3 linked regions of the Neurospora crassa OR74A genome follow. The protein of the gene in region 3 interacts with the protein of the main gene of each other region in a pairwise test. Links are inferred from orthologs where the notes say so. Each region holds a gene or a part of one and is shown on either strand. Other genes may lie near its edges. The genes, in order: NCU07482, NCU10776 and pcn.

What was found.
Region 1: the proteins of pcn (region 3) and NCU07482 interact in binary tests that used the Saccharomyces cerevisiae proteins (3 or more experiments, as listed by UniProt). The link is inferred for Neurospora crassa OR74A from reciprocal best matches to the Saccharomyces cerevisiae genes POL30 and UNG1.
Region 2: the proteins of pcn (region 3) and NCU10776 interact in binary tests that used the Saccharomyces cerevisiae proteins (3 or more experiments, as listed by UniProt). The link is inferred for Neurospora crassa OR74A from reciprocal best matches to the Saccharomyces cerevisiae genes POL30 and RAD27.

The regions. Positions count from the first base shown.
Region 1 is NC_026501.1:466,496-470,629, reverse strand, and holds NCU07482 (uracil-DNA glycosylase), read left to right. Parts: upstream 1-1,334; 5' UTR 1,335-1,733; coding exon 1,734-2,179; intron 2,180-2,305; coding exon 2,306-3,209; 3' UTR 3,210-3,489; downstream 3,490-4,134. Other genes in the region: fr (manganese ion homeostasis protein), read right to left, coding at 3,675-4,134. UniProt on the Saccharomyces cerevisiae protein: Excises uracil residues from the DNA which can arise as a result of misincorporation of dUMP residues by DNA polymerase or due to deamination of cytosine. Not involved in strand-directed mismatch repair.
Region 2 is NC_026507.1:3,045,998-3,049,821, reverse strand, and holds NCU10776 (DNA-repair protein rad2), read right to left. Parts: upstream 2,580-3,824; 5' UTR 2,389-2,579; coding exon 2,290-2,388; intron 2,216-2,289; coding exon 2,211-2,215; intron 2,090-2,210; coding exon 1,528-2,089; intron 1,447-1,527; coding exon 928-1,446; 3' UTR 595-927; downstream 1-594. Other genes in the region: nox-2 (NADPH oxidase 2), read right to left, coding at 3,115-3,148, 3,211-3,824. UniProt on the Saccharomyces cerevisiae protein: Structure-specific nuclease with 5'-flap endonuclease and 5'-3' exonuclease activities involved in DNA replication and repair.
Region 3 is NC_026501.1:9,447,060-9,450,588, forward strand, and holds pcn (proliferating cell nuclear antigen), read left to right. Parts: upstream 1-1,335; 5' UTR 1,336-1,571; intron 1,572-1,692; 5' UTR 1,693-1,694; coding exon 1,695-1,736; intron 1,737-1,832; coding exon 1,833-2,552; intron 2,553-2,625; coding exon 2,626-2,643; 3' UTR 2,644-2,998; downstream 2,999-3,529. Other genes in the region: NCU09240 (hypothetical protein), read left to right, coding at 1-634. UniProt on the Saccharomyces cerevisiae protein: This protein is an auxiliary protein of DNA polymerase delta and is involved in the control of eukaryotic DNA replication by increasing the polymerase's processibility during elongation of the leading strand. Involved in DNA repair.

The sequences.
Region 1 (4,134 bases), about 9.0 Mb from region 3:
CAAGCCATGTGTGTAGGCTTTCTCCAAGCATTGCTGGAAACGGCTTTATTCCAAGTCTCAACTCACCACAACTGGTGGACAAGATCTCGGAGATCCCGATTTGATCATGTTCATTCATCCCAAGGGATCGATGCAAAGTGATACCCGCTCCTGGTACAACTTGGTCGTCCCTCCTTTACCTAGCTGAGATGACGTGCGTTGTGTACGAGCTTGTGGTACAACGCTGAGTTGCCTGGAAGTGGAAGGTAAGTAGAGGTTATGGCGAGGGGCAATGACTGCCATTATGGGCTTTTGGATTTTCTCTTGGAGATGTTTGGGTTGATGATACATATTATAGCGTGTTGAAATGTGTGCATTTGCTTGATTTGTTGCCCCTTTCTTTCCGTCTCTCTTTCGTAGTTTTTGCTCCTGTTTCTTCTTAATTCTGTTCCTATCAACGCAATTGTACCCAAGAAAATGCAAACAAGGCGCGATCTTGGACAGACAATGCCGATGAACCGATCTGTTTAACAACACCAAGAGCTTTCAGTTCACTCGACATGAAGATGTTCCCCAGAATCGCATAACTAAGACTTATAGTGATACCGGCATGTCCACTTTTTAGAAGGACTTCGCCAGCGCCTCATCTGGCAGTGGGTGCAAGGATCAGAACGGGTACATCTTGTGCGACCCTACCGGAACCTCGGCGAGCTCGGCATCCAGATGAGCGTTGGACGGAAGATGCGACGGGATGATCCAGTCAGGGGCCTCCACCTCTTCCGTAAAACCCGGGGCCGGTCTTGATGTCGTACTTGACTCCGCTGAGGGAATGTTCGGCAGGACAGTCACAACATAAAAACAAGAAGAAAAAGAAAAAAAGAAAGGGAAGAAGAAAAATTGGAGGGAAGAAGAAAAATTGGAGGGAAAAAGAAAGAAAGAAAAAAAAATTGCTCCAATTCTAGCGTTAATTCATATAGTACATGAAATTGAGTTGAAGGCCACTTGCAAAAAGTGACTCCTTAACAAGAGAAGTAACTTCAGACGATGTCACAGGTAAAAAGGAAGATGATGCAGGCCAGCAAGGTCCCCCATCTCCACCCCGCTCAGCCGTTACGGCAACCTCAAGTGCCCGATTTCGGCGGCTCCAGTTGACTCCAGCACTTCCCTTGCGCTAACGGAATCTCTTCGGCGGGGCCCGCGAGGTCCAATGCGGAGCAGCGGGACGGGATCCGCTTTCAACGGCGGCATCGGTGGGGCCGACTAGACGCAGACTAGAGTCTTAATTGAATGAACAATGACGCCAAAAGTCGCGTCGTTGTTCGTTGGAGAAGAGAGAACCTTGCAGGGCCGGAGAGTGAAGACGCGCTTTTGCTTTTTTAGCGTTGTTTCGTCATTCACTTCCATTGGGCGAACCGAGGTGGTTGATAACATTCTGTTTGGAAAAGCAAACAGAGAAAGGAACGTTGCTTTTCTTCCCCAGCTATTTCCCACTGAAGAGTGAATTTGAAAGACATTTTCCACTCGAGAAAATCCCAGATTGGAGTCTCGACTTCACTCCACCGTCCCAGACAACGACTCTTTTCACTCGATCAACAAGTTCTCACCCTCAAGATAGTCAACCATCACGGCTTCAAAGAACCTCACGACCTCTCTGGGCTATCTTGAAAGTCGGCGTCTCTCAACTCTTTTCCGTCACCTCAACCTCAACCTCACCCACAAACCACCACCATCACCACCATCTCTCACTCAGAACAATGTCCTCCCTCAAACGCAAAGCCGGCTCCTCCCAGCCTGGCCCCTCCCCCGACGCCAAAAAGCCCAATCAAAACGGCAACATCATGTCTTTTTTCGGGGTTCCCAAGCCCGGCGGCCCTCTCAATTCCTCTTCTCCAACCACTCGATCGACCAGCCGCAGCCAAAGTCAGCTCAGCAACAGCAACAGCAGTACTACTACTACCGCTACTACTACCCCCGACCCCGCCACCGTAACCAAAAAGTTCAACAAGGAGAAATGGGTAGCTTCTCTGACGCCCGAGCAACGCGACCTTTTACAGCTGGAGATCGACACCCTTGATGAGAGCTGGTTGGCGCATCTGAAGGAGGAGATTGTAACCAAGGAGTTTTTCGACTTGAAAAGGTTCTTGAAGAAAGAGTGGGAGACCAAGACGATATTCCCGCCCAAGGAGGATATATATAGCTGGTTTGTCTTTTTTTTCCCCTCTCTTTTTTCCCCTTCTTCCCTTCTTCCCTTCCCCCCCTCCTCCCCTCTCTTTTACCATCCCGTCCATTCAATTTTCATCACTAACACCCACCCAAAACAACACAGGTCCCGCCACACCCCCCTCCCCACCGTCCGCGTCCTCATCCTCGGCCAAGACCCCTACCACAACCACAACCAAGCGCACGGCCTCTCCTTCTCCGTGCGACCTCCGACTCCCGCCCCGCCCTCCCTGCGCAACATCTTCATCGGCCTCGCACGGGACTACCCCTCCTTTACCCCCCCGCCCTCCAAGAGCGGGCTACTAACCCCCTGGGCAACCCGCGGCGTCTTGTTGCTCAACACATGCCTCACAGTTCGCGCGCACGAAGCCAATTCCCACGCGAACCGCGGCTGGGAACGCTTTACCCAGAAAGTTATCGACTTGGTAAATGAGCGACAGAAAAAGGGGGTGGTGTTCATGGCGTGGGGAGCGCCGGCGGGGAAGCGGATGGCCAAGGTGGATGGGAAAAGACATTTGGTGTTGAGGAGTGTCCATCCGAGTCCGTTGAGTGCGCATAGAGGGTTTTTTGATGCGGGGCATTTCAAAAAGGGGAATGAGTGGTTGGAGGGAAGGTATGGGAAGGAAGGAAGGGTGGATTGGAGTTTGGTGGAGGGGAAGTCGATATTTGCTGATGAAGATGGGGAGAAGGGGAAAACAGAGGGGAAGGGTAAGGGGGAGGGGAAAAAGGATGGGAAGGATGGGAAGGGGGAGAAGGAAAAGAAAGAAGAAGAGGAGGAGGAGGATGAGTTTGAAGGTGGAGAGATTTTTGATGAGGAGGGATTAAAGGAGGTTGAGGCTGTTGTGGAAAAGGTCGTGACGGAGGAGGGCGGAAAGGAGGAGTTAAAGACGGATTTGATGGTGAAGAAGAAGAAGAATAAGGGGGAGGAGGGAGGTGATGAGAATGCTATTCCTGTTCCTGAGGAGGAGGAGGAGGAGGAGGAGCAGACGGAGAAGATGGAGGAGGACTGATGTTTGGGTGATTTGATGGGCTAATTGGTTGTACATGTTTGGATCTGCGAGCTGGGTCGCACACAGTTTCTTTACCCAGGGGCATGCGGCCGTTGTGTTACGCTACAAGGAGCCAAGTTTTGATTGGACTTGGGAAAAGGGTACTTGCTGTTTTAGGGTTGGTGTTTGGAGTTATTTGTCAGTATTGCTCTTAGGTCTAGCTCGAGCGAGTTTATATAGAGCATCAGCTAATAGGCATCTCGTCAGGCAACGGAGTATAAAGACGGGTCATGATGTTGAACCATGTACATGTAAATATGATAAGATTTATAGTATGTACCGGCACCTAATTGATGCCCCTGGACGGTTTTATCAGATAACATCCCCTTTCACGCCCGCTGCGACCAGATTTTTTTCCTGCTTCATCACCATGTTCTCCCCCATTTCTTCAATTCCCTCCCCTAACTATGTGTCTTAACGAACGACTTACCCCTTCCAAGCCAACCACCCAAAAACCACCACCACCATCCACGCCACCCTCCAAACCGTCGTCCACAACTCCGTCACCACCACGCCCATGGCGGTCTTGGGCTTTTGCTTCTTCCTACTCTGCCTCGCCCTCCATTTTGAACTCGAACTCGAAGTCGTAAACGCCCCACCATAATAAAGATCCTCCTCATTCTCCCCTGGGATCTCAATCCTCGGCTGATGATAATGATGATGATGTCCATGCTTCCCACCCCACGACCATCCTCCTTTAACTGATTTATTGCTATTACTGTAAACGCTCGATTTCCTGCTTCTCCCACTACTACCTCCACTCTTTTCGTTGTGATGACCATTTCTCAAATTATTTGACTTTAGTGAAGACGAACTGACGGACGCGGTACGACTTCGTCGTTCGCCTGAAGTGCCTGAGGAGCCGTACTTGGATGAGGCCGAGTAT
Region 2 (3,824 bases), on a different chromosome or scaffold from region 3:
GTTCGTTGTATCTTAAGTTCATCCTCGACTTCCAACAGTTCGTTGGCACTGTCCGTCCTCGACTGCCCGTCTCCTGCCCGTGGGGAAGACCCCTGCGCTATGCAATCCGACCCACCTCCGCCTTCGTTGACATGAAACCTCACAGTTTGATATTCAAACTTTCAACTGTCTTTGGGCGGCTTTGCTCCAAACCTCCGGTGCTTATCCAGAGGACAATGACGACGGCGAGGCTGGTCGTTCTCGAAATGGAATGAAATACGGGAACATGTGACACCCTCCCAAATCACTTCCAGTTCCCATTTGCAGCGAGTCTCGTTGAATGTCTCTGTTTCGGTCTCCACCGAGTCCACGTTAGGCTGATGTCATTTGTTCCAGCGGGACCAATTGGAACGGCTGGGATTACCACCCAACAATGAGCCGAGGCAAGTGTGGTGCTGCCACGGTGCGTGCCGCGGTGCGTGCCGCGGCCACAGCCTGTAGTGTAGTGCACTGCACAAAGACCGAGCCGATGCTAAATGCACGTACTGTACGTGTACTATCATGGACCTTGTCATAGCGAACTCCATGGGGCCGACTAATTGTGGAGTTGGAGATACATTAACATAACTTTCTTATTGCAGCAGTTGCTCCATGGTAGCGGTCTGTATGATCCCATCCGTATCCCATGATCATCAATCAATATATAGCTAGATGGCGGTAAATCTGTGAGGACTCAATCGTTCGCATGGCAAACGCAAAAAAAACAAGTAGGTACACATTCCCGTAACCTTGGGTTCCACGGATTCCTCGACGTGCTAAATAATACACACATCTCCGTACCCTTTTCCCTTCCGCCTTTGTAAAACTCCCATAAACTCCTGAATACCTGAAACGCCAGTACCCATCAGAACGCGGTAAGTAATCGGGCCACGTAATGACATTCCCGCCCTAAGCACCACGAGGCTTCGCCTTAAGCTTCGCCTTTTCCTTTTTCTCCTCCTTGACCTTCTTCCTCTTCTGCTCCGCCTGCTCCTCCAGTTTGCGCTTATGCGCCTTCTTCTCCTCCTCCGTCTTGGGCAGTATCTTGAAGAAACCCTCGATTCTCGCCTGTTGTGAAGTCTTCATGTTCTTCTCCAGCTTTGTGCCCGCGCTGCGGACACGGTCCTCCGAAAACCCCTTCTCATGAACCAGGAACTGGATGAGCCCCTCGATGTCGGGCTTATCCCACTTAAAGTCGCACAGCGGGTCGTCGGCGGGCCGCACGTCCGGCTCGAAGAAGAGCGTGCGCGCGTCCTCAAACGGCCAGTCCTCTGGGATTTGGTAGCGGCCCTTGGGGTCCGCCTTCATCCATTCCACCACCTTCTCCAGTGTGCCGTGCTCGCGGATCAGCTTGAGCGCTGTGCTGGGTCCGACTTTGGGGATGGGGTCGAGGTAGTCGCAGCCAAGGAGAATGCAGAGGTCGATGAACTGTAAAAGAGGGTGCTGTCAGCATATCGCAGTATTTTTTTGATAGCCCGAAGAAACAAAAGGCAGGGGGGGAAAACATACTTGCTTCCTCTCCATACCCAACCCCTCCAACACCTTCTCCAAATGGATTTCCTGAATCGGCTCCTTCCTCTGCTCGCTAAACGTCAAATGCCTAAGCAAAATCGGCGCGTTGAAGCACAGCGTATCCATATCCTCGCTGGCAGCCGCATACACCTTGCCCGCCCGCGCCAGCACTGCGCATTGCGCCTCCGCCTCGGTGGGCGCCACAATGTAGGGGATGCCCATCAACTTCAACAACTTCTGGCACTCGGCATTATGCTCGCGTGTGACGCGGACCGTTCTCCGACTGAACTTCTCCACGTCCTCGGCCGTGCCGGTTTCTTTGGCCTCCTCCAGCCCTTCGGTGGCTTCCTGCTTGCGCTGGAACCGCTTGGCTAGCTCCCCGGACTTGAGTTTGGGCGGCGCGCCGTCGAATACATAAAGCGGCTTGATGCCGTTGTCGACCATTCGTAGGGTGCGGTAGAACATGCCCATTAGATGCGACGTGGTTTCGCCGGCCTCGTTCATTAGTTGTTGGCCATCGGAGCGGACGGCGATTAGGAAGCTGTAGATGCTCATGGAGCTGTATAACGTTTAGGGAGGAGGTTATGATGTCAGCGATTATGGTACGGTAGGTTACGTTTTTTTTTTTTTTTCTCCTTCATGATCGAGGTCGGGGTTGGGGTCGGGCGGGGGAGTCGTACGCATCCTGTGAAAGGAAGGTGAAATGTTAGCATATTTTGAAGAGAAAGAGTGCATTGATTAAAATGACATAAAACTCACAATGGCAACCTTGCGACCGAACTGATTCTTGATCTCACCCTCCTTGATGGCGTCAGGCGCTTCATCTTTGATGACCGAAAAAAGCTGTTTAATACCCATCTTTGCGATTGTTATTCATGCGATTCCGGGTTCGAGATTGGGACAAGGTGGTAAGTCGGGCGGATTCCGTGCAGAAATTGGAGAAAGTCAAAGTACAGTAGGTTGTTGTTGCAGACGGGACGGAGGTATCTTGGTCTCTTGAAGGTAGGTGATGTCACTTTGTGACGGGAAACGAGAGGAGGCTTTCCGCGTCCGTCCAGTGGAATTGACGCGCTGAAGCTGCTGAAGACCGGATTGCCTGCCTGGAGACGCACCTCTTTCGCGATGGTAAATGTGGGGCACTTAGAATCCCTGCGTGTGTGTGCTCTCATATTGGAGTGATGCTCGGACAACTACGGGTTAGGGTTGGACGTTTACTCGAAGCCAAGGGGTTGAAAGATCAAGTTGTGTCTTCTTCTTCATGCTTGTGTTTCTTCCAAGGAGGACACTTTCTGATGCGATTTCAATTTGATTGCAAAGGAACACAAATATCTTATGGTTTCTTGACAACATAACGTCTTGAACAAATTTCCTAAATACCTCGAGCTTCTCCATTACCTGGAAACAATAATTGGTATAACTGGCACATAAAGAGGTGAAACAGGTAACGAGCAAATTTCGCAGTCATCGCCGTCCAAACATGCTCATATACTATGGCATAAAAGGCAGAAATGATTTAGTAGATCGTGCCTCATACTGAGGTTATTGAGTGAACAGGGTAAGGGGGACAGAAACCAGGGTGAAGTCTTAGAAGTTCTCCTTGCCCCAAACAAAGTGGAAACTAATGCAAGATGTTAGCGGTCTTTCCGTTGCAAGTCCACCACAAAAGAACCATGAACTTACCCAGGCTCACTATACTTGTTGCAAAAGATGTGCAGCGAGCTGCCCAGTCCCTTGGGACCGCAGAAGAACACGCCAGCCTCGCCCGGAGCATGCAATTTCCTGATACCCCTAAAGATCATATCCCAGTTCGGACGGCCAAAGTTCGTCGGCGACCTCAAGCCAGTAATGGTATCCTTATCGGCGTTGGCATCATTGATCATGATGTTGGTCGCATCGTCAATCTTGATCTTGGCCGTCAGGTACGTGTGGATCTCGATGCGGTGGTCGACATCTTGGGCCTCGATAGCCAACAACAGAGAGCGGAACCACTCGAACGAGCCGAAATCTCTGCAGACCCAGAAGAAGTACACCTTGCTCAGCCGCGTCTTTTGTTGCGGGTAGTTCATGCGATACCAGATCGACTTGAGGATGGAGGCGAAGGGGGTCACGCCGATACCGGCGCCGACCAGGACGGACACCTCGTACTTGAACACGTCTTCGGAGGCGGAGCCGAACGGTCCATCGACGTACACACGGGGAAGAACACGGCGGAGAGCGGGATCAACTTCGTCGTTCTCCTGGCTGACGCCAACGACCTTGGACGTGTCTCCCTTCTTCTTGTTGTCGAATTCGCA
Region 3 (3,529 bases):
CCGCAAGCTCGACTCTCTATCGACGGGCATCCGCGGTCTCCAAGCCAAGCTGGCACTATTGCGTGAAGAATCCGAGAAAGCACTCAACGAAGCCGACGACATCTCTGAAGTTGGTTTCGACCTCCTGTCGCAATACGAGTCCATTGGCCAAGACCTCAAGATGCTGCAGCAAGCCTGGGAGGATGGCAAGGCTGCCCTAGCATCGGGAATCGACCGCAACGAGAAACGTATTTCGTCTATGAGCATGCTGTACTCGCCTGCTACCTCTCTAAGCGGGTTGACCACTGTCGGCGAAGAGAACGAAACCGGCGGCGGAGCGGAGGATGCGCTGAAAGCGCTCACCGGGGAGACGTCTCCCACACGAAACTCCTCGCCAAGTCCCAACGAGCCGGATGTGTTTGAGGCGGTTGCGCTATCGGCTCGGCCCAGGAGTATGCTGACCAGGGAAGAGAGATTGGTGAAAATGAAAGAGGAGAGAGAGATGAGGGCAATGCAGAGAGAGAAGGCGGAAGCGAGTAGGGGCATGTTGAAGGAGTTGGAGATGGTGATTAATCTGAGGCCGAAGAGACATACAACCATGGGACCAGGCGGGGGAAACGGCAGGAGTGCGGCGCCGACGAGGATTTCTTTATGACGACAGACAAACTCTGCGGCATTCGCGCTGTCTTTCTTTCGGGTTTCTTTTCTTTGACCACTATAATCTTACATGGCATCAAGGCATTGCGCGCAGACAAAAGAGAGGGGCGAACAACAACGACGAGAAGGTCAGCTTGCCAGTTTTCTTGAAAAGCAACAACAGCAACAACAACAACAACTTTGGGTAGAATGGCGTTTTGACGGACATACAGACCATGGGAACATTTGAAAGCTGGGGCAGGCAAGCGAGCAATGTGGGACACAGAATTTAACGGCGTTTACACAGTTTATACAGACGATCTTGGGCGGGCATTCTGTAACAAATTCTTTTTTGAGTTGGGGGAGGGTGTAAGATAGGTGAAATAATGTAATAATCAAAATATATTGGAGAATGGAGGTAGAACAGAGTTCGCGCAGAAATGAGGGAGTCGAATAGTTGAAGTCATATCATCGGAACTTGAAGTGAGCAGCATACCTTTGGTTCGACATTGCCGTCGAGACACGATCCAAACAGAAAGAGGGGATTCAGGGCGACAGCTCCCACTGAAAACGCGAAGATTGCGCCTGAAAGCGGACTAACAGCGCTGGAGAACGGGACCGTGCACCGGGAGCTAGCCTGAAGCGGTAAATCAATTAAGCCTAACCCCGGCTCAGCGCGTTTAGCTGCCATTAGCAGGCGCGTCAAGTCGCGAAGTGGGTGTCCCGGCACCACCTGTGGTATTGGTGGTTCCTCTCTTTTTATCGTCCATTGCCTGCCTGTTGCAGCTTTTTGAACAAAACCATAACTCTTCCCAAATCCAAATCTTTTCTTCTCTCTTCTTTCTTCGTCAAACCACGAGCGCCTCTCTCTCCCGAAAGTGATACCCAGCGCGCGCATATTTTCTTCCCTCTTTGTCTTTTTTTCCCCCGTCGAGTTCGGTAATTCACATCCATCAGTATGTCGTCTCTGTCTGAGCGTGAAGCTGCCTGCTCGCTTGCTCGCTGGCCCGGCACTAGGAAGAAAAGCTGGAGAACTGGAGTGATGGGTTGCTGACTGGAGGACTACCACAACAACAGAAATGCTTGAAGCACGGTTGGAGCAGGCGTCGATCCTGAAGAAGGTATGTCATGTCCTCTTCCTGTCAAGTGCTGTCTGTTTCCTTTCCCAGCTAGAAGACCCCCACTAACTCTGTCATGATGATGACGATGATGTCCAGGTCGTCGACGCCATCAAGGACCTCGTGCAGGACTGCAACTTCGACTGCAACGACTCGGGCATCGCCCTGCAAGCCATGGACAACTCGCACGTCGCGCTCGTGTCCATGATGCTCAAGACGGAGACCTTCTCGCCCTTCCGGTGCGACCGCAACATTGCGCTCGGCGTCAACCTGACGTCGCTGACCAAGGTGCTCCGCGCCGCCCAGAACGAGGACATCCTGACGCTCAAGGCCGAGGACGCGCCCGACGTGCTCAACCTCGTCTTCGAATCTTCCGAAAACGACCGTATCTCCGAGTACGACCTCAAGCTCATGGACATTGACCAGGAGCACCTGGGCATTCCGGATACCGAGTACGCGGCCACCATCAGCATGCCGTCTTCTGAGTTTAAGCGCATCACCACCGACCTCATGGCCATGAGCGAGAGCGTCAACATTGAGGCGAGCAAGGACGGCGTCAAGTTTAGCTGCCAGGGCGACATTGGCAACGGCAGCATTACCCTCCGCCAGCACACCAACGTTGATAAGCCCAGCGAGAATATCGAGATTGAGTTGAGCGAGCCGGTTTCCCTCACGTTCTCGCTCAAGTACCTGGTCAACTTTTGCAAGGCGAGCGCGCTGTCGAGCACGGTCAAGATCTGCCTCTCCAACGAGGTGCCCCTTTTGGTCGAGTACAACATTTCGGCTAGCAGCTACTTGAGGTTCTATCTTGCGCCCAAGGTATGTCTTTGTTTGTCATTTTCTGGGTGGTTGTTTTCTGTCAGGCGTGATGCTAACTGGTTCTGATTCACAGATTGGCGACGAGGAGTAAACGCCCCATTTACCTCCAACAACCGAACCACATCTTTGTTACGAACACCACGAAACTATGCCTTCATGTATACCTCGAGTTGCTATAAAATCATGGGGAGGAGGAGAATTGCAAGTCATGTAGAAGATAAGGGGTGATGCAGTGATGAGAAGAAGAAAAGGGATATGAAGAAAAAGAAATCTGTGTTTTTGAAAGAGTCTGGCACTAGTACACTACACACAAATGTTTTAGAGGGCGTTTTGTTCTTTCTGCTGCGAAGATGAATGTTTAGGGGAGACGACGAGGTGTCAATGATTATTGCGATGGCCTCCAACAACACACCTTCACCAAGGAACCCGATGCTGTTGTCGTTTCCTTTTTTTTTTTTTTTTTTTTTTTTTTTTTTGTCTGATGGTTTCTAACATTGATATCGGCAAACTGTCCTCCCTGTATCACTATGGTAATCATCGCTTCTCGGGAGTTCAGCTTGGCGTTGAAAGTAGGTATCTCAGAAGTGGGTTCAATCACAAGTACACCAGTACTGACATCACCACTTCCCGTCAGTCGGCGTGTTTTCCAGAAATCTTCCACCCGACTGTTTTTTTTTTTTTTTTTTTTTTTTTTTTTTTTTTTTTTTTTTTTTTTTTTTTTTTTCATCCGATGAAGTTCCTGGTGTTCACCAGCTTCCCCACATTGTTCATTCAATGTATGTAACTTACCTACCCACCACCTGCGTGACGTCCCCTCCCGCCTACAACAGCCCAGGGCCCGGGGCGCGCCCAGCAGCTGAATGGACTCCGCATTCAAGTTGCCCCTAACCCGCCCTGCAGGAAACTTTTTGGCGGGGCATGGGTGGTTCCTGGGGAAAAAAAAAAGAGTCATTGACTGGCCGGCCCTGTGCCATGAC